4 linked regions of the Arabidopsis thaliana genome follow. The protein of the gene in region 4 interacts with the protein of the main gene of each other region in a pairwise test. Each region holds a gene or a part of one and is shown on either strand. Other genes may lie near its edges. The genes, in order: AT4G32600, AT1G06890, AT1G71940 and HHP1.

Region 1 (5,152 bases), on a different chromosome or scaffold from region 4:
TCTGTTCTAAAGATAATGCGTAACTTACAATTGATAGAAAATTCACTCGATTGGCAAGTAAGTGTTTCTATTTGTTTTGACAGAGAGCTCGATGAGAAGATGAGAGATGTATTCCATGGATTCCTAGAGGAACGAGGTGTGAACGAGAGTCTCTTCCCCTTTCTTCAGGCATGGCTCTATGTAAAGGATCACCGTAACCTACTGCGATGGTTCAAATCAGTTGGCACGTTTGTTCATGAAAACCCATCTGCAGAAAACACCGCCTAGAAGGACGTGTCTTTTCGGTCTCTGGATCGGTTTCTGCGGTTAATTTTTTTAGTATGGCACTATACCGCTTTTAAATGTTTCAGGAACTGAATCACTTTTATTTTCAAACCATTTCAAAACATATGCATCCGAGATTAATGTTAAGAAAAAGTTCTCTATTCGACTGTGTGAGCTCTCTCTACTAAAGGCAAAACTATTATGATCTTTATGCTTCTTGTAAGTTACCGGTTCTCACACTAATTTTACCGAGCCAACGAGTCAGTGTCTAGTAATTCAAAAACTAAGATAACAAAATCGTTGAAGCCATTAAAAGTTTTGTGGTCCAGTATAAAGGTATAAATATTTTATTTGGTTTATTCTAATTTTTCGCAGAGAGACCATGAATGAGGCACTTTAGCTGCACAAGGTCTCGAAAGATCCCTGGCTCTCGTATAGAGGTGGTACTCGTGACAAATTCAGAGAATAAATAAAAACAAGTATTTGGAACACGCTCAAACTCAATCACCGATTCTCGAACTCTTCTACACTCAAGAGGTTCCAATTCACAACGGCAAAAAGCATTTACAGAACAGGATCTTCGCCGTGTCTTTCTTCACCTTCTTAGCAATGAGAAGCAAACCCCATTTTGTGTAGGAACATCGCCAAACGGCTAATTTGCCGTTTTCTCGGACATAGAGCAAATCTCGAAGATCTAGATAACATTATTGGCCAAACCATTCTCAACTCTAAGTTCACTCCGTTGTTGTTGTTGCTGTTGTTGATGGTTATCGTTTTCCCCAGAAGAGAGCGAGGTTAAGATCCCTTGGCTAGTCAAATCAGAGTTCTTCTCCCCAACTTCGCTCTTGCATAGAGGGCAAGAGGCATTGATCTTCAGCCATTTGTCAACGCACTCTTTGTGGAAGAAATGTGAGCATGGAAGCTCTCTTAACTCCTCGTTATTCGCATATTTCGCTAAGCAAATGCAACAGACCTGCAAATATTTTTATATTCAGCAACTTGATTGTATCTGTGTGTTTATGTGTAAATTCAAAGTGTAAGGAAACTCACTGCGTCCTCTCCTGAAATAGCTCGTTCGTTATCTGTTCCAGCCGCCACAACTCCACCTTCGCTAGTACTTGAACCATTGTCATCGCCATTACTTCTGCTTTTCTTCAACTTAAATTTATGAGTCGGCAACGCATTAATCGACTCAGGTGTGGCACCTCGAGGTTGCGTTAAATCTTCTCTATATCCGAGAATTGAGATTATGCAAGGCAAGCAGCAACATATTGTTGTACAGAGGATGAAGGGCATCGCGTAGCCAATACAGCTAAAGGTAAGAAACACTAAACATAACCTAGAACATACAAGAGAACAAAAATATGGGTCAGTCTTGGAAAATGCAGTCTGATGTTTGAGTCTAATTGCTGTATATCTAAAAGAATATCACCTGTACAAGTTAGGAGCCTCGGCAGCAGATGAATGCCCTCCAAATATCCATACATTACCTACCACAAACCACACCGCAAAGAAGCAATCCAGAGCCATTTTGAAGTATTCCACGATAACTTTAAGTCTGGAAGCCAAAATCAACGACCAAAATCATACTGACTCAATTAGATTGCAGATATTTTCAACACAAAGAAAAAGTTTAGAACAAAAGAGACATCTAAACTCTCAATTCTCAAAAATAAGAAAAGCTTTGAGAGAAAACGTAATTCAAAATCCAAACTTTCAGTTGAAACAGATCATCTAAGAACATGTGTGTTTACCTGGCAGCACTTATAAACCCAGGATATCTACTACCACGAGAAGAGGTGGTATTGGTCTGTCGACCATCTGCTTCGGATGTCCTGGATATCGAGAAGGCGAATGGTCCTGCTGCAACATTAAGATTAGGACGGTGCTGACCAGAATCCTGTTCAGAAGCCTGATTCGAATGATAATATCTCCAGTACAAAAGCGGGAGTGTAGCAACGCATCCACACGCATAACCAACAATCCAAGTGAACAAAGGAGCACGAGGATGCTCATGTTTTGACAAAGACAAAACGACAATAGCTGCAATGATCTGACCAACAGTGAGGAATAGTTCAATAGAAATCCATAAGCCAGAATTCAAAGGACTTCTTCTACGACGGACACTTCTAGGATTTGATCGCATAGAAGAAGAAGAAGAAGCTGTAGCTGTAGCTGGCTGAGGAGCAGCCATGGGAGAAACAGTAGAAGGTCTCTCTTCCTCATGTTGTAAAGGTTCCAAAACATTTGAGATTCTATCATGAGAAGATGATGATGATGCAATGGCGGCATTTCTTGGAATGTCAATGATGATGTGCTCATTTCTGCTTAGATTATTCTCTGGTGATCTTTCCATGAATCTAGAAAAAGTATCAGCTTGATTTGTAATACGATGTTGTTGTTTCAGAAGAGAAACACCCATCTAGGTATTGTCCACTTTGCGCATACCACACCATGGAGCTTAACCAAAGGTCCTGCAAATCCACAAAGAAAGCTTAAACCCTCAAATGACCTAAAACAACCACGAAAAATCATCAATTTATGTCTGTTTCAAGATTTTGACTCATCAGAATCGACCAATCCAAGCTTAATCATACATGAATTAAAGGAAAGAAACTCACCCAGATTATACCATAAAACTAGGGTAAAATCAAAGAAAAATCGTAAAAGGGCAAAGATTTATCAGAAGAACAGAAGCATATAATTGGCGCCTGGGATTAATCTCAGAATAAAATCAAGCAATTAGGGGAAACAAACCTTCTTCAATGGGGGTGAAATTTGTTTCTTTTCTCGCTGGTCGCAAGGTGTAAAATTGGAGAGCGCCGCAGAAGAAGAAGAAGAAAACCCAGAAACCAAGACAACGAATCAAATTAAGAAGAGTCAACTTTTTCAACAATCGAAATCCTTTGCTGTTGTTGATCGTGTAGCTTCTTCAAATGTATTTTGCGATTATTTTAGATTTTTTTTTTTGTGTTCACCGATCAACCAAGGGGAGATTAAAAAAAAAAAATTATGGATATAAAATTCGGAGCCAAACAGCAATCACACAAAAACTAGTATTATATATAAATAAATGTACAAAGAAAAATTCAGATAGTGATGCTTTCTTTGGCTCCTTCCTCTTTATATTTTCCCTCAACAAGAAAAAAGTAAAAAGTAAAAATGAGAAGATATTGCTTTTTGACTTTACCCCTGTTTTACGGGGCGGCGCGTAATCTAATTAGATGTTCTGAAAGTTGTCTCTTCGGTGACATTCGATAAATAAAGTGATCTGAAAGTTGTCAAAGAAACGGTTCGAATACTAAACCAAGTTCTTATTTTTTAGAAACACGTTTTCAAAGCTTAAGAAACAAATGCCATTTTCAGCTCAAAAAGGTAAAACATGCTACTGATTTTCAGATCATCATAAAAACACTTCCTACCGAATCTTCTGACCAGCTTCACTCCTACCGTATCTTTAAGCAAATTTTAAACATTTCAATCATGCGAGCTAGTTGATAGTTTCTCTCTTAAATTTCACTATCATGGCACCACATATCCAAGAACTAAAGAAAAATACGTCTAGACAAACGAATCTTCCATTAATACGAGACAACATTCATACAGAGATGTGTTATATACACATAAATCTGAGACAAATAACCTTTACATTAATTCACTTCTTCCACTGTGGAATCCGCTGCACGACAACCTATATCCAAAGCCGACTTTTCTCAATGAGAAAGATCATAAAAAGGAAAAATAAACTCTTATGATCCCAAATAATGGGCACATTAGCGTTTGCAATTTGCATATGCATAAATTGGTGTATGAAAGTAGGTACCTTTCCTGAGTTTTCTTTGTTCCCTACTATTGTTTGACATGCGAGTCTCCAAGATTCCGGCTTCTGCACAATAGTAACAAAACCCTTAAGATTTAAACAGCCAAGGCTCTTATTTTATCCAAAATTTGCATATCTAAGAAAAGTTACTTAGTAACCATATCAGACAACAAAACATATATTCACATTTAACCAGAAACAATGCTCAACATTTCATTCATCTTGTTAGTGCACATACCCATTCCAAACACTAGCAATGAGAAACTTGTGAATCTAACAATAATATAGAGAGGAGTGATCAAATAACTAGCCTTTTTCAGGTACCGGTTTTCTGTATCTGTTCTCTCATTCAGAAGATCTCTGCCATCGAGTATCTGCACACAAGAAGACCAAATGTGTATTTTTTTGCTTTGAGTTACTGGTCATCATAAGAAGACCAAACACAAATCTATTTTCCTCCATTGATATCCATGAATGCTAGAACAATCATAGCTCATAAATTCATAATCAGAATCTAATTAACATTGTATGAAGTCACTTGCCTCCACAATGCAAGTTCCACAGCTTCCTCCACCACCACAGTTCATCACTTTCCCCTAATCATCACAAATTGACCAAAATCCAAAGTTTACATAAGCCTTCAACAAACCATCTCCTCACATCAAAATCTAGAACTAAATATTTTCATTGTCTACTAAATTATTCCAGAAACTAGTTCAAACATCAAATCAATCAATGTATTAAGATTGAGAAAATCTGAAGTTAAATTTCGTAATTAAAGAGAGAGAAATCAACATAACTCACGTAAGCAGCGTAGAGTTCAATTTTGTTATCCTGCATAATGCTTCTGAGAAGCTTATCTCCACTCACAGCCTTTGCTTTATCTACCGGATATGACCCGTCGCTACCCGGCTTCGGCTGCAAAGAAAAAAACGAAAAGTCTCTTCTGAGTTTTGAAACGAATTGTATCAATAATCGACGAGAAAATCGCGCCGAGAGTTACACCGAAGAACTCGAGCTCTATCTCAAGAGGCGTCACTGCAGAAATCCCCTGAGGAGATGATGCTT
Region 2 (5,686 bases), on a different chromosome or scaffold from region 4:
GGAATGCACTGGGAAATCCATATAAAAAGAACAAGAAAATTGATATTTTTGCTTTGATTTTTTTTGATGTGTTGAAACCTAAATGCATCCAGTGTAATTGGCAGTAGCTGTCAAACATAAAAGGGTAAACTTTCTTTTTTGAGTATTTAATGTGAAGAATCCTGTAAACGTTCTGTTCTCAAGCTCTTGAACATAATTGGTTCTGTGGAATTTGCAGGCTATTTTGGCAGATACAAGATATTAATAGTTTGTATAAACTTAAAATGCAATATTTCAAAAATAAAAATTAAAAATAGAGCTCAGAGTAGGCGAAATCATCTGATATTCAGGAGAATGCATTGGACCCAACCAATACTAAAGCCAATTTCATCACAGCTCATGCACCAGCCGGGAATCGAACCCGGGTCTGTACCGTGGCAGGGTACTATTCTACCACTAGACCACTGGTGCTTTGTTGAACCTTACGCTATGTTTTAAAATAAATACCAGAAACCTTTTTTTTTACTCTCATCAAAATGGTTTGGTCAAGATATGGAATAACTGAATAAGAATTGGGACAAGTTGGTAAGAAAGCTAGAATGAGTTGTGTAGATTCATAGAAAAGAGTCTAAAAATCAAATATATGTTTTCAGTGTTGATGAATATAGCCACAGCCTTTTGAATACAGAGTTGTAATACTAAATCCAAAAAAAAAAAAAAAAAAAAAAGAGAGCTGCTGTGTATAATAAAATGGATCATCAAAGCTGTTCCCTTTTCTTCCCCTCACTCTCTACTTTCTTCTTTTTTTCCATATGGTGTGGAAGGTTTGTTGATTTTTCAGTCTCCCCTACTTCTCTGCTATGCATATTTAAAAAGGGAACAAAAAAAAAAAAAAAGAGAAATTAAAAAGTTTGTGTTTTTTTGGGGACAATACAAAGAGAGTTTGATATTATATAAAAAAATAGCGATGATCAAAGCTTTTAGGCTTGAAAATCTTTATTTGAGTTCCATACAGGAGCCACCGTCTTTTGCTGCACTCCCCCGCCGCCATCTGATAACACTCCGCTTCCATTTTCAGCTGCTATTAGCGGATCCTTCTCGCTCTCTTTCATCTGACAAACCCGAGTAAACCAAATTAAGCAATATAACAAGTCAGTATATATAGATAGACCTGAAAAAAGCCTATGATACTGATGCTTTTTTATAGCAATCTAATTGCAAAATCAATGGTACTATAAAAAGGAATATGATTTGAGGGACTCATCTAATTACCAACAGAAATATATTAGAGGGAACAGAGAGATGAAGAAATATACCTGAGGCAACTGAGTTGAGGTTTCACTTGCCTTCTGCTGAGTCTCAATCGAGCAGTAATAGGAATAAACAACCATTCCAATCACAGCCACTAGAATACCGAGAATGTTGCGCCAGTCGAATGGGTCTCGCAGCAACACATAGCCAAATGCTAGAACCAGGCATGTTTTGAGATGTCCTAGAACCTGATATGTGACAGGAGATGTTTTTCCAATGACAAGAAATGTGCTGAAGTTTACAGAGACTGATATGAGGCAAGACAGGACGATGAAGAACTGCAATCAACAAAGAAGCACTCGTTAATATGCAGGATCGACATGGAAGCAAGAAGATCAGTTAATAAGTTTGGTAGAATCCCCGGGAAATTGAGTCTCACCACTACTTGAGAAGTGTACTTGAAAGCAAACACGTTCTGATTGGTTAGGAGCCCATCTAAAAATGGCCCAGTGACGAAAAGAGTGATTGCTTGATATGGGCAAGACTGATACAGAAGCTGCGTGGATGAAACTTTGAACTTCTTCTGGATGGTATTTGTCATCTGTGTACAATTGGTTAAGATAACAGCATCGAATTGGTTTAAGACAAGATATATAGAAAGGTGAAAGAATAAAGCAATGAGAAACCAAAGGCTAGGCATAGGATACAATTTGAGCAACACAAGTTGTGACAACAGCCAGCAGCGACAAGACAGAACCCAGCATATTAAGTTGAAGATCTGTGACGGTTGCAATTCCAACACCAAGGAGAAGGATGGTTAATGAAAACTGGATTTTTCGACTGCAAAGAAAAAAAATAAGGGTGTCATTAACTAGGCCCTTGACCACAAACTAGCGAGAGACATAACGCTATCACTAAGTTGCTCAACTATTACACAGTATATAAAATTAGAACTTTGGATTAAGTCAACCAGAAATGCATGACCATAAGAAAAATATAGATGTCATGTAAAACAGCTTCCTCCAAATCAATAATTATTCACGTGTTAATGGAAGAGAATTTGAGTGCTAACCTGAACTTTTTCCTGAAGAAGAGGGTCTCCAAGAGAACAGTGCAGGGGATGATAGCTAGTTTAGTCATCTATTATCAACGGAACAGAAGATGGGTTAGAAATTAGAACAACACTAGTTAAAAATGGATATCACATCATGCAGTAACTGAAATGGAAAAAGCTATACCTGGTAAAAACCGACAGAATTAAAGCCCAGGCTGAGGTTCAATAGTCCTATGGATATCCCATTCAATATGCCAAATCCCATCACAGCTCGTGGATCAAAAGGCTTGTGTTCGAACATCTTCATCCATAATGCCACATGAAGGGAACAAAATGTGACCAAAAGATGCCAACTTGTCAAAGTAGTCGCTGTACATACAAAATAACAAGAGTAAGAACAGATAGCTTATGAGATCAAAATTGCATAAGATGACATAAAAGCTGTTATGGCAACACAGACATCAAAATGGGATAAAACAGTGTCTTGCAAGTATAATAATACTACATAAGAATCAATGGTGTATCCTAGGAAAGAATATTGAGTCATACAGAAAAGAAGAGGAGCACCTAAATTCTAAAGCGATAAGAAACAATCTTAAACATATACAATCATGAAGGCAATTCTCGTTTATGTACCATAAGGGACCTAAAATATAACCAACAGACAATTCAGAACATAGTATGAAGTAAAATGATCAACAATCTATTCCTCAATTTCATCAAATAAGAGAAGGCTCGAAACGAATCGCGCAGAGTAAGCATTAGTATACAAACACAAGAATAGATCCAGAGGAAACAATATCAGCAGCGCAACATGGATAATCAAAGGAGCCTGTAACAGTGAAGGAAGAATTGAAAAGGTTACCGAATGTGAAGCCAAGGGTGCTAATAAGCGCTTTGTTACAGATCACAATCGAGACAGATGACACAACGGACAAACTCAAAGCGCCGATTGTTCCCAACTGGAACTTCTGGCCCTCGCTCATCTTCGCTCTCCTAATTTATCTCTCGCTTCTTCAATCACGATCTACGATGATCTAATCCACCAAAAATTATACAAGGAATGATAACGGTAGACAGTAAAACGTGAAGAAAACAAGAGCGATCTGGAGAAAACGAACCTCATTCGTGCATAACGTAAACGTAAATGCGAAGCTTAAGGCAGCTCGAGCTGAAGCAAAATGGAGAAAATAGAAACTCGTTAGATAAAAGAGTGGGAGAACGAAGGAGATTTATTGAAAGCCAGAAGCCATAAACCCTAGATCTGCCGTTATGAGACAGAGATCAAAGAAATCAGTTGAAGGCAAAATTCAAGAGACGCGAAATGAAACAAGGAGAACATAAGGAAGGAGAAAGAGGGAAGAGAGAGAGAGAGAGACTCACAGGAGAATTGGAGAACCAGAGAGAATTCAAAACTTCGACGGAGGAGAAGAGATTCAGATTAAGCCTATTTTCTGCAATTTTTGATGGTCTTCACTCACCACCGTACAGAGAAAAATAGTGAGAGAGAGGAAGAAGAAAGATAGTTTTCGCTTTCTACGTTTGATAGGCCCTACCAGAGAGAAATTAACCGCGGGATATAATCGTAATTATCAAACAAGCTATTCATGATCCACGTTCACATTTGATTTTTTACCGTTGGTTATTTATGTAAGACATTCACTGTACAATCAAAGGTCATTTTATACTTTCTTTTCATTTATTGTTCCAGTGGACATATACCTGTCATTAAGGAGAAAATTGTTCCAAATGGGATTTTTCTTAGTGAGAGTTTCGATGGTTATTTGAAGTAAGTTTTTATCGATTGATAACTTTTTTTTTCTGTCTGTTTTTTAGTTTTGCTGCTTCTTTTTGGGTAAATGAAATCTATACATTGTATAAGATAATGCTTTTCTAATCAATAAATATCAAATTATCCACCAGATAAAAATAATAATTTAAAAAGCGTATTCTCAAATCGTAACAAAAAGGGATATTTTTGGTGTTTGTCACCCAAAAGTATAACCTATCCAATGAGGGTATGAAGAAAATTGAGTGAATCAAAATATAAAAGATAAAAAAAAGGGAAGACGAAGCAAAACTCTTTTGTATGTTTCTTCTCATTAGCAAAGGCTGGGGTAAAACTTAGAAGTTGACTTGAAAGCCACTGCGTCTGCGATGACCTGCACCGCCTTTTGATCTGTTTGAGTTTCTTTCATATTGGTATCGCATCCCCAAACCCTTACCGCAAGCCTACGACATTTGGGTGATGATTCTCTGAAATAGGTTTTGTACCAACTGATCACATCTTTCTTCTGTATACTTCTTAGTTCTTCTGCTTCTTTGTGGGAGAAATCAAACATGTACCTGTGAGAGAGTTAACTCCATTTTCATTCGCCAGTGACCGTTGTGGATATGGATCCAAGTAAATCATTGAAAGTTCTATAGATACTACAGGTCACATAACTTCAAACCCTTGAGATCCTTACCTTTTGTCAACAATCTGACTCCATAAGTCATTTGTCTCGGACAAGAGAGAGGGATCCTTTTCCAGCAATCTAGCAATCATACCACTTCGGTAATCTTCATAGGATTCATCATCCAGTTGTTCCTGCAATTACAGTCCGATTAACATATGTGGAGCGAGGTAAAGATTTAACAAAAAAAATCAATATATTCTTTTTGATTACAGACTTACCAGAAGCCCTTCGATATCTTTTATGAAATTGTCAACTCTCCCCAGCAAATGAACTGGACCGTACTTAGAAGATTGAACACAGAAACAGAAACCGTGCACACGATACGTTAAGCGAGGGCCACACTCGACAACATAACCAAGCTGCTCCTTTGTCCTATATCCAAAATATGTATATATATGTGTGACTATACATGAATACAATTTTGATCTATTAAAAAAACTAGGTAAACATGTGATGACTAACCTCAACTGATTGAACAATGGCTCTTCTATGATTTCATGAAAGAGATCCAGCACAGCTTTCGTTCTCGTTGATTGAGCTTCTTCAGGCTCGATTTGATAGTAAAGCTGCAAATCAGATGCAGGTTAAAATTCAAAACCATGATTATACCCGAGGAAAGTACAATGTTTTCAACTCTTCTTGGCTGACTCTTATCACAAGAAAATACTGTTTCCTTTTTACCTCGACTACTGAGTTTGTTTCAGATTTGTTCTTCACATTGACATCTCTCACAAGTTTGGCACCCATAGGGAAACATGTTATCTGTTCACCATGTCTACATTTGCTTGGGAGTGGTTCAACCGTCAAACTGTCTTTGAAAATGTTTGATATGTTCACTGCTTCGTCTTCGGACAAATTACCATGACATAGAGCCTCAATAAATATCTGAAAACATAACAGAGGTATTACATGACCTTTGCCCAATTTAAACAAAACCAGAGAA
Region 3 (4,196 bases), on a different chromosome or scaffold from region 4:
AATTCCATTTTTAGTCCAAGTTCATAAACTGTTCCATGATTTGTGATGTTTGAATGTTTCTGTCAGGTTAAGATAGGCGCATGTGAACCTGTAGAAATAGAATCATATAGTCATGAATGCACGATTTTGTGTATGTAGGCTTAGGAAAAACAGGATAAAGTTTTCAACTTGATCAATGTTTTTTTTTTTTGTCTTTGTTCTGTTTTTCTTATATGCTTTTGGGGATTTGGATGTTGCAGAACAACCAGGTGTGATTCAAGTTGTGCCAAGCCAGACTTATCAGCTGCACAAACCTGGTGGTGGTGGTGGTTTCAAGTTGACCTAACTTGACTTTGTGTATTCTCTACTTCTCAACTAAACCTGTTGCTTTACAGAAACTAGTCTGTTGTTGTATTGTTGTGACTTTGAACCAAGTATCTAACTAAAATAATGTTATGAAGTTGCTTTGATTCGAGTTGTTCTGTGTTGTTGAGTAACTGAGTTTTTGTCAATATATTATTCTAAGATAAATGTTTCTTCTAGTTCCAATTTCAGATGGTTAAATTCTGAAAAGAAACGATCATAATAAATCTAGAACCAAAATATTTCATGGTCTCTCGTCTTGTACAAAAAATTGTATTATTTCTGTAATTTCTTCTCAACCTCTACTTGCCAAATAGTAAGAAAATATGACAACAAAAAAACTATCAACGAATCGTTACGACAAGTGACAAGTAAACGAATCAGAAGTTTTGTTCTGTTGTGTCCTCTAAACAAGTTAAGTGTATTCTTGTTCTCTGTATGGCATTGAATGTTAGGCCATGTGTATTGTAAAGATGCTTCTCCCTGGCTATTCAACAATCTTCTTTCTTTTCAGTATCGTTGGAAGAATAGAGATAAACCCGATGAGGAAAAGCACTGACAATGTCTTGAAATCATACAGATCTTTCACCGATTTGAGATCTCCAATAGCAAGGCCAGCCTGCAATAAACAGAACCAGAATTTAAAGCCATGTTCTTCGCACTTTATGTAGATGGCGAAAAGAGATGAAACACAGGAATGTTGAATGATAGCATATCATAAGCGGAAAGATGGTGAAGGATGGAGGTAAAAGAGCTTACTCTGACAGTTATATAAGCTGCAGGAATGAGACCAATCAATGTCGCCAAAAAGAAGACATGGAAAGGTACATCGACTATAGGAGATGCAAGATTGATAAAAAGATTTGGCAGAGTTGGTGTTATCCTCAGAAACAACATATAGTTCAGAAGCTTATCTCTACGCTTACTAATCTGAAAGGTATAAAACCACAACTTAATCAGTACCAAGTCAAGAACTTTCACAAAGATCATTTCATCAACACAACAAAGAGACTTACCTCTGCTTGAAAGAATCTTAATTTGTCAGGCCATAGCCAAGTAATCAACGGCCGACCAATCAATTTCGACAAAAAGAAACACGAGGTAGCTCCTGCTGTTGCATTGAAAACAACCAAGACAACACCTTTGAATACTCCAAAGAGAGCTCCAGCTAATAGTGACATGAAGATAGTCCCTGGAATCATAAAGGTCTGCATAAAAATGTACGTTGCACAATACCCTAAAACAAACTGCGCCGGATACTCATTCGCATAATTTGCTAGATTATCTCTGAAACATCAACAACAAGAAAGATTACAGATTTTGTCAATTCCAATCATGACACCAACACTAATCAGTAAATTCTCCTAATTGGCTACAAAAATTGAGTCGTAAGATTAGAAAGAAAGTTACTTGAGCAAACGGAGATCAGCGAGGCTTCTTGGAAGTTTGAGTTTGCCAAATTCAGCAGCAGGCATGGTCATGTAGATACAACAGAGTCCAGAGGAGAAGACGAGGAAGACACCGAGAGAAACGGCGAGTTCCCAACGGCTAAGAGGGAAGCGATCAAGTTTAGATCTTTTACCCGATGGAGAATCATCATCGTCTGAAATAACACCAAGCTCTTCGTCTCTGGTTAGAATCCGAGTCGGAGCCATCACCGAAGAATGCAACAACAACAAAAGCCAACGATTTCGAGATCGAATCTTTAATTCATATGTGGGATTGGTTTACGGAGAAGAAACCAACAACGATCTGGGATTAGATCTGAGAGATTTTGTAGAGATTTAATTGCATTTTTGATTTCAGTGATGAACCCTAGATGATGCTTAAAGAGATCGATTTCACGATTTTGTTTCTTCAGATTTTAATTAACGTACGAAGAAGAAGAAGAAGAAATTAGAAATTAATTTTTAACGGCAAACGTGTTGGCCTTGTAGATTTTTGACGGTGGCTTTTAAGACCTTCTACGTGGATCAGAAGGTTTTGACTTGGACTTCTTAATTGAAACCTCTTACTCGATGAGAGGGTTTCTCAATTAAATTTATTTTTTAACTCATTTTTTTTATTTATTATTATATGCTCAATATTGATCATGGTCAATTTTTTAAAAAATATGAATAAAAAGTTTTTTGTGTTTATGTTTTTTTTTTGTTTTTTTTCATCACCTTCTTCACATGTAAACATTTGTAGTACATATTAATACGTACATTAATTAATTATATACATGGTGAACATATGATTTCGATTCAAATCGTGCATTTTGGGTTTGAGTTACAAATTTGAGGTTTGATTTGAAATTTTGAAAGTTAGGAGTCTGATCAGAAATTACAAGTTCTCTTAACTAATAGGCCACCACTCAAATAAAAAATTAATGGGGGTAGAATGTATGGATGAGTTACAAATTTGGACAACAGAATAAATGAATAGAAAAACAAAGGGACTAATTTTTAAAAAAAACAAATCCACCTTTGTGAAATTCAACAACAAATTTCTACGTAATAAACACAAACTTCTTTTACAAATAGACAGTTATAAATGTTATTTTCCAGATGGAACAATTAAATCATAGAATACAAATCAATATATAGAAGTGTGTTTTTTTTTAATTACGAGTCAGGGAAGCATCCAAGAGAATGATGAATATTAGCTTCGACCTCATTATAGCTTTGATGCATGGAAGGGAAGCTTGGCGCCGGATTATACGACTGCGTTTCGAACATAAGAATATTAGGGTTATGCGGATGTATGACTTGTGTCTCAAGCAAGGTATCTAGTGTTCTCCAATCCACACAGTTAAAGCTCTTCTCTTCTTCTTGCTCGAAACTCTCGTTCTGATCTTTATTCGTCCCTAAACTAGGCGACAAGCTCGGGCTGTCCAACTGCGGGAGCTCAATGTTGCCATATTGATGCATCGATGAGGATGTATTATTAGGATTGTAGTGGTTATTGCTCATGAGCATTTGATTAAGGTTATGACTTGATGAAGATGCACCGATATGATGACTCGTGTTCATTGTCACTGAAGATGAGTAGTTGTTACTACTTTCGACGTGGTAGAGCTGGTTCTGCCATGGCTCGTACCCTAATGGCCTCTGGTTTGGAATTGGCTTCCTAAATGCTCGACACACCACCCAGCCTTCCTCCTATAGTTCACAAACATATAAAGTTATTTAGATAACAAGTTATTGATTTAGTCCTGTTTTTTTTTTTTTTCTTTTTTTTTAATTTTAAACATTATTGAATCAAATGTCGTCAAACATGTAACATTATTGCTTAGGTTTGATAGACGGAGTATGTATTGTACTATTTATTAGTAGTTTTTGGATGATTGCTTTGATAGTGAATCGCGTATCAGTCAGAGTCTTTCAATGTGTATACCTGAACCGGGGCAAGCTCGGAGTTTTGGAGACGGTATTCGTGCATGATCCAATCGGACTTTCTTCCATTAGGAGCTCGACCCTTGTAGTAGACAAGTGTCTTCCGCATTCCGATGACACTGTTTTTTGATAGTACCGCCTTGTCTCTACCCGTGGCTTTCCAGAACCCAGCCGCAGTGGCTCGGTTGGTCCTAGTCCCGGTAGGGTACTTCCTGTCCTTATGACTAAAGAAGTACCACTCGTTTTGCTCTTCATACCCTAGTTTACACCTCGCTGCAAATGTAAAACTAAATATTAATGTCATAAATTTCTTACATTACAAAAGGTCAAAATATTAGAAATTTTATGTTTCTTTAAAAAAAAAAGAGAATATTGAAAATTATGTAGTAAAGTAATTTCTAAATGTGATATGATTATACTTTTCAACCGGTTTAATTTCAAAAGAAGTATTATGATTTATGATTGTACTATACATCT
Region 4 (4,349 bases):
GCTTCCGAAATTCGAAAAGAGTTTGGGTCCGTTCACGCATTATCGATCAAGAGTCTAGTTACAGAGTGAAGCTTGGTCTTTAATTATGTTTATGTCTGATCAATCCTTGTCTTGCATCTAATTAACACCTGTATAACCTAGTAACACATATATTTATATCAAATCAAAAAGAACAAAAAAACTTTGAAGCAATAATAAGAGGACTCGGCTATGAAGAATGAAAAAGGAAGCGGAGACTTTGATGAACATTTGATGGTGCATATATACATATTAATTCTCTTGTGGTTAGGGAATCCTGACACTAAGCTAAGTGCGCATGTAGATAGATGAAAGAACCATCAACCATGCATGAAGTCCATCCTTTGCATCATTGGTTTTTTTTTTTTTTTATAAAACAAATCATTGGTTGTTTCAACCGTCAATTTTTGCTTTTGTGTTTACATCAATTTTTTTTTATGTCTTTTCAATTCTGTTTGCTTTCATGATATAAAGCAAACAAACAATTGAAGTCATCATATTCAAAAACGAAACTATTCAGTGGCAAATATTTGATTTACCATTAACTTCTCATAGAGAAAAAGACTTCTGAAAATCATGCATATTCAACAAACATAACAATTAACACAAGTTGAATTACAATTCAATTTAAAACAAATGGGTTATTACAATTTTGTTCACCACGATACAACAAATTAATAATATTATATTTAAAAGAATTACAAATATATGGTTTAACAACCAACGTGGTCACGCCAGTCCAAGAACAAGAGAGCAGCTGCATAGTGAGACAAAGCACCCAACAAAACGAACACATGGAAGATCTGATGACTATGTCCCACACGATCAAACCATCCCGGTTTAAGCCTTTCTGGCACTCTCCCTACGTAGAATCCTGTTCCAACAAGATAGAACACTGCCATAAGCAACTCGTACACGAGCGTCACGTTCCTTTGCGGGTTTCCCCAATTGACCACTAGCGCGTGGGCAGCTGGGACAATCCCAAACAGCCCCATGGAGGCAAAGAGCAAAGCGCGGAAAGCTCGGTACTTGGGAGCGGAAAGTGATGGGGTGAAAAGTGTGATGATTGTGAAGATTCCCATGGATGTGATGCCTGCGAGGTAGATGAAGTACCACCGAGGAGTGCACTGGAAGATGTAGAAGATTGGTGGGAAGAAGGAAGTGATGATCATGGCGGTGATACCGGCATAGTCTATTCGGAGAAGGAAGACATTAAGCTCTTTTGAGTGGCAACAGAAGAGGTGACAAATGCTGCTTGCGAGTAGGCAGAACATTGAGCCTCCTAAGAAAACGAAGAAGGGCCATCTTGTTACATTCCCTGGACTCTTTGCATCCTACAATCATCAACATTGATACCACCATTAGCTTTACATTTTTATTGACTAGTTTGAGATACTAAAAAAACATATACTAGATATATGATCAAATAACATATTTGAGTTGATTTCTAATCTAGTTAAGAAATACATTTTCTTCAGTTGTTTAGATATGTGATTAAATAATAGATTTGAGCTGATATATAATCCTTAAAAGAATTACATTTTATTGAGTTGTTTAGAATATACTACAGAAAACAAATTATAGTCAATGTAATATTGTCAAAGATTTTATTCATCATTTCGATTCATGTCTATATATCTTTGATATCTTATTCAAAATCATCATAACAAAATCCAGGTATAGCAACGAACAATTCATTAGAAAATTAAGATAAGTTAATCAAAACCAATTAGGTATATATCTAATTACTTGACACATTCACTTGACTAATTTGAAGTTAATATAGTGGTTGCATGTGGATCTCGAGGGAATAAATTGAAATTCGGGCTAAACTTGCGATTATTAAACAAAAACAAAAATAAACGTGTTGATTAAAGGACACTTACCACGGGGAAGAATCCGTCGTGATGAATAATATTGGCGACGGTTAGTGCCACAAAGAAGATAAAACCAATCAAATGTCTGTCCAAAAAAAAAAAACTATTAGAAAAAAAAATCGAAGAAAAAATAATTGAAACTAGAAGTAAAATTTGGTGTACTTACGTCCAAACATTGAGGGACTCATTGTGGAAACTAAATACGCTGAAGAAAGCATCTCTAATGGACCAATCAGCTCTGTAATAATTCAATATGTATTCGTTGTCTTTCATGTACTCCGGTAGCTCACAATACGACATTAATTCACGTCGTTTCATTGTCTTTTGTTGCGTTTTTCTCTTCTTCCTTCTCTTGGTACCACTACTCTCATCTCCACCGTGATCATCTCCAGGCACGATCTTGCTTTTGCAGTTGCCGTTGCCGCATGAAACTGTTTCTGCTTCGTCGTTATGACCATTTTGGTCCATAAGAGCTCTCGAGTATCGATTCTTGAGACAAGAATACTCAATCTTGATCTCAAGAGAAGATGGTGAGAGAGAAGATCTGAGAGGAGAGGAAAATATATAATGAAGAAAGATTATTATTATTATTATAGTTGAAGTAACAAGTATTAAAATGTGAATTTAAGTTTGAGGGGAGAGAGAGAGAGAGAAGAAACAAGGAAGATGTGAAATGTAAGGAGACAGCTGCAACATTTAAAGACGAAACTTTAGTATGCAGGTAGAAGTTGGTGTCGTGTTTTCATCTTTTAGTTGTTAGTTAGGTTATCAATAAATTCTTCTTTTTTGATTATTATTATTTCATTTCCCTTTCTCTTACGTTTGTTTTTATTGTATTTTTTTTTAACAAGAAAAGTGATTCAGTTTTACACTACTTTTTGAGATATGGAAAATCTTTTGAATACGAGAAGAGTAAATTTAGGCGATTTTAAGACCGACCGACTCAAAATTCACTACCGGCTTGTACCTCTTTTACATGATTGATGCCTTGTACCCACCGGATCGTTTGTATTTATAAGAAAGATATAAGATATGTGATGCAAACAAAATAGTACTCTTGATGTAAAAATAAAAAATAAGGACTCATTTAGACTTTTACTATGCTTCAATCAACATTAAATTCTGTGTGAAATTAAGATTGGTGAGGGGTTTACTTTACTTGAAATAGACGAGTAATTTTAGAAAATTTGCATTTTTGAGTTCTTATGTGTAATTCTAAGTAATTTTTTTAACAGAAGAAGTTAGGATAACAACAGAATTTAATGTAGTTATGAGTTATGAAGTGATTGTGGTAAAGAAGTGTCAAAGCTCTTTCCATCAAGTGGATGACAACAAAAATAATGATACTAAAAACAAGCATGCAAACATTTCAAGGATTCCTTTTTTTAAAAGAGTAGACCACAAAAGCCAAAATCATGAAAATTTCTATTTTTTTCTTGTGAAATGTTGCAAAAAACATTAGTGTCATTTTCAATGAGTTACCACTTGAAAAGGACTTGACCTTTAAATGCCTCTAGCAATATAGAACTTCAAGTTAATTAATTAGGCAGATGACTAAACTTTAGAACAAATTTATAATTTATTTGGAAATCAACTAAAAAAGGATGTTAAAAATTAGACGAAAATATCTTCATACAAGGAATTATAAACGTTTTGTTGGCAAAAAAAAAGGGAATTATAAACGTTTGTGACATGCATTCATGTAATACATGTTATTATGCTGTTATTATGAAGGAGTTAGTGAGTAAAGATCTTGACGCCACTACAAGGTTTGTACTTCGGTATGTGTTTCAAAACACGATACATTCTATATGGAGAGAAAGAAATGAGAGGAGATATGGACAGACGCCATCGAGGACGAAGAAGATAATCAGGCTGATAGACAAAAACATAAGGAATGGATTAAGCACGTTGAGGGTAAGATGTGAAGAGAAGTACGCAAGAGGAATCCAAGTGTGGTTTACTTTTAGGCAAGAACAAAATCAAAGATAAATAAGATATACTTTTGATCTATTTTTAAGAAAAGTTTGCATTTCTGTATATAAACAGTTTATTTTTCTTTGAATATAATTTAACACTAAATTCAAAAAAAAAAATATGTTGTTATTATGTAGATAGTAATTAACATCTCGGCGTCCCATAGCCATACCTTTATTTTTTCTCTTACAAAATTCAGTTTTGTTATCTAAAATTAAAGCTGATAAAATGGCCATAGTTGTAGCTTTCTGGTCTTTCAAGATTTGGGTTGGCTTAGGCTTTTTGGGAAAACATTAACCAAAGAGGTCACTCCTGAAACACCCCCAAGGAATCGCAATCATATACGCAAACTCCATATACGTGTGTTTAAGTTTCTTGGGAAAATAGTTTATTACTAATTCATAACTTAAGATTTTGTTAAATATGGTTGAAGAAGAAAATGACTTTATCTTCTCGACATCTTTTGTAATCTTTACT

Evidence for each region.
Region 1: the proteins of HHP1 (region 4) and AT4G32600 interact in a protein complementation assay, tested with the Arabidopsis thaliana proteins (one large-scale study listed by BioGRID).
Region 2: the proteins of HHP1 (region 4) and AT1G06890 interact in a protein complementation assay, tested with the Arabidopsis thaliana proteins (one large-scale study listed by BioGRID).
Region 3: the proteins of HHP1 (region 4) and AT1G71940 interact in a protein complementation assay, tested with the Arabidopsis thaliana proteins (one large-scale study listed by BioGRID).

Annotation. Positions count from the first base shown.
Region 1 is NC_003075.7:15,721,544-15,726,695, reverse strand, and holds AT4G32600 (C3H4 type zinc finger protein), read right to left. Parts: upstream 3,352-5,152; 5' UTR 3,022-3,351; exon of another isoform or gene 2,886-3,021; intron 2,777-2,885; exon of another isoform or gene 2,739-2,776; 5' UTR 2,687-2,738; coding exon 2,019-2,686; intron 1,823-2,018; coding exon 1,697-1,822; intron 1,604-1,696; coding exon 1,315-1,603; intron 1,238-1,314; coding exon 959-1,237; 3' UTR 555-958; downstream 1-554. Other genes in the region: AT4G32605 (Mitochondrial glycoprotein family protein), read left to right, coding at 84-267; AT4G32590 (2Fe-2S ferredoxin-like superfamily protein), read right to left, coding at 3,915-3,971, 4,088-4,150, 4,396-4,458, 4,627-4,680, 4,889-5,002, 5,088-5,152.
Region 2 is NC_003070.9:2,110,769-2,116,454, forward strand, and holds AT1G06890 (nodulin MtN21 /EamA-like transporter family protein), read right to left. Parts: upstream 3,919-5,686; 5' UTR 3,668-3,918; intron 3,667-3,667; exon of another isoform or gene 3,456-3,666; 5' UTR 3,406-3,455; intron 3,322-3,405; 5' UTR 3,271-3,321; coding exon 3,150-3,270; intron 2,654-3,149; coding exon 2,469-2,653; intron 2,371-2,468; coding exon 2,303-2,370; intron 2,071-2,302; coding exon 1,938-2,070; intron 1,832-1,937; coding exon 1,670-1,831; intron 1,569-1,669; coding exon 1,296-1,568; intron 1,092-1,295; coding exon 960-1,091; 3' UTR 838-959; coding exon of another isoform or gene 817-837; 3' UTR 555-816; downstream 1-554. Other genes in the region: AT1G06900 (Insulinase (Peptidase family M16) family protein), read right to left, coding at 4,387-4,630, 4,753-4,874, 4,962-5,115, 5,206-5,309, 5,425-5,628. UniProt on the Arabidopsis thaliana protein: Nucleotide-sugar transporter that transports UDP-xylose and UMP in a strict counter-exchange mode.
Region 3 is NC_003070.9:27,076,582-27,080,777, reverse strand, and holds AT1G71940 (SNARE associated Golgi protein family), read right to left. Parts: upstream 2,255-4,196; 5' UTR 1,998-2,254; coding exon 1,753-1,997; intron 1,630-1,752; coding exon 1,359-1,629; intron 1,273-1,358; coding exon 1,102-1,272; intron 962-1,101; coding exon 903-961; coding exon of another isoform or gene 830-902; coding exon 702-829; exon of another isoform or gene 634-701; coding exon 587-633; 3' UTR 530-586; downstream 1-529. Other genes in the region: AT1G71950 (Proteinase inhibitor, propeptide), read left to right, coding at 240-325; VND7 (vascular related NAC-domain protein 7), read right to left, coding at 2,949-3,485, 3,721-3,992.
Region 4 is NC_003076.8:6,840,294-6,844,642, forward strand, and holds HHP1 (heptahelical transmembrane protein1), read right to left. Parts: upstream 2,654-4,349; 5' UTR 2,364-2,653; coding exon 2,062-2,363; intron 1,981-2,061; coding exon 1,905-1,980; intron 1,353-1,904; coding exon 732-1,352; 3' UTR 540-731; downstream 1-539. UniProt on the Arabidopsis thaliana protein: May act as a negative regulator of abscisic acid (ABA)-mediated osmotic stress signaling and function in cross-talk between cold and osmotic signaling.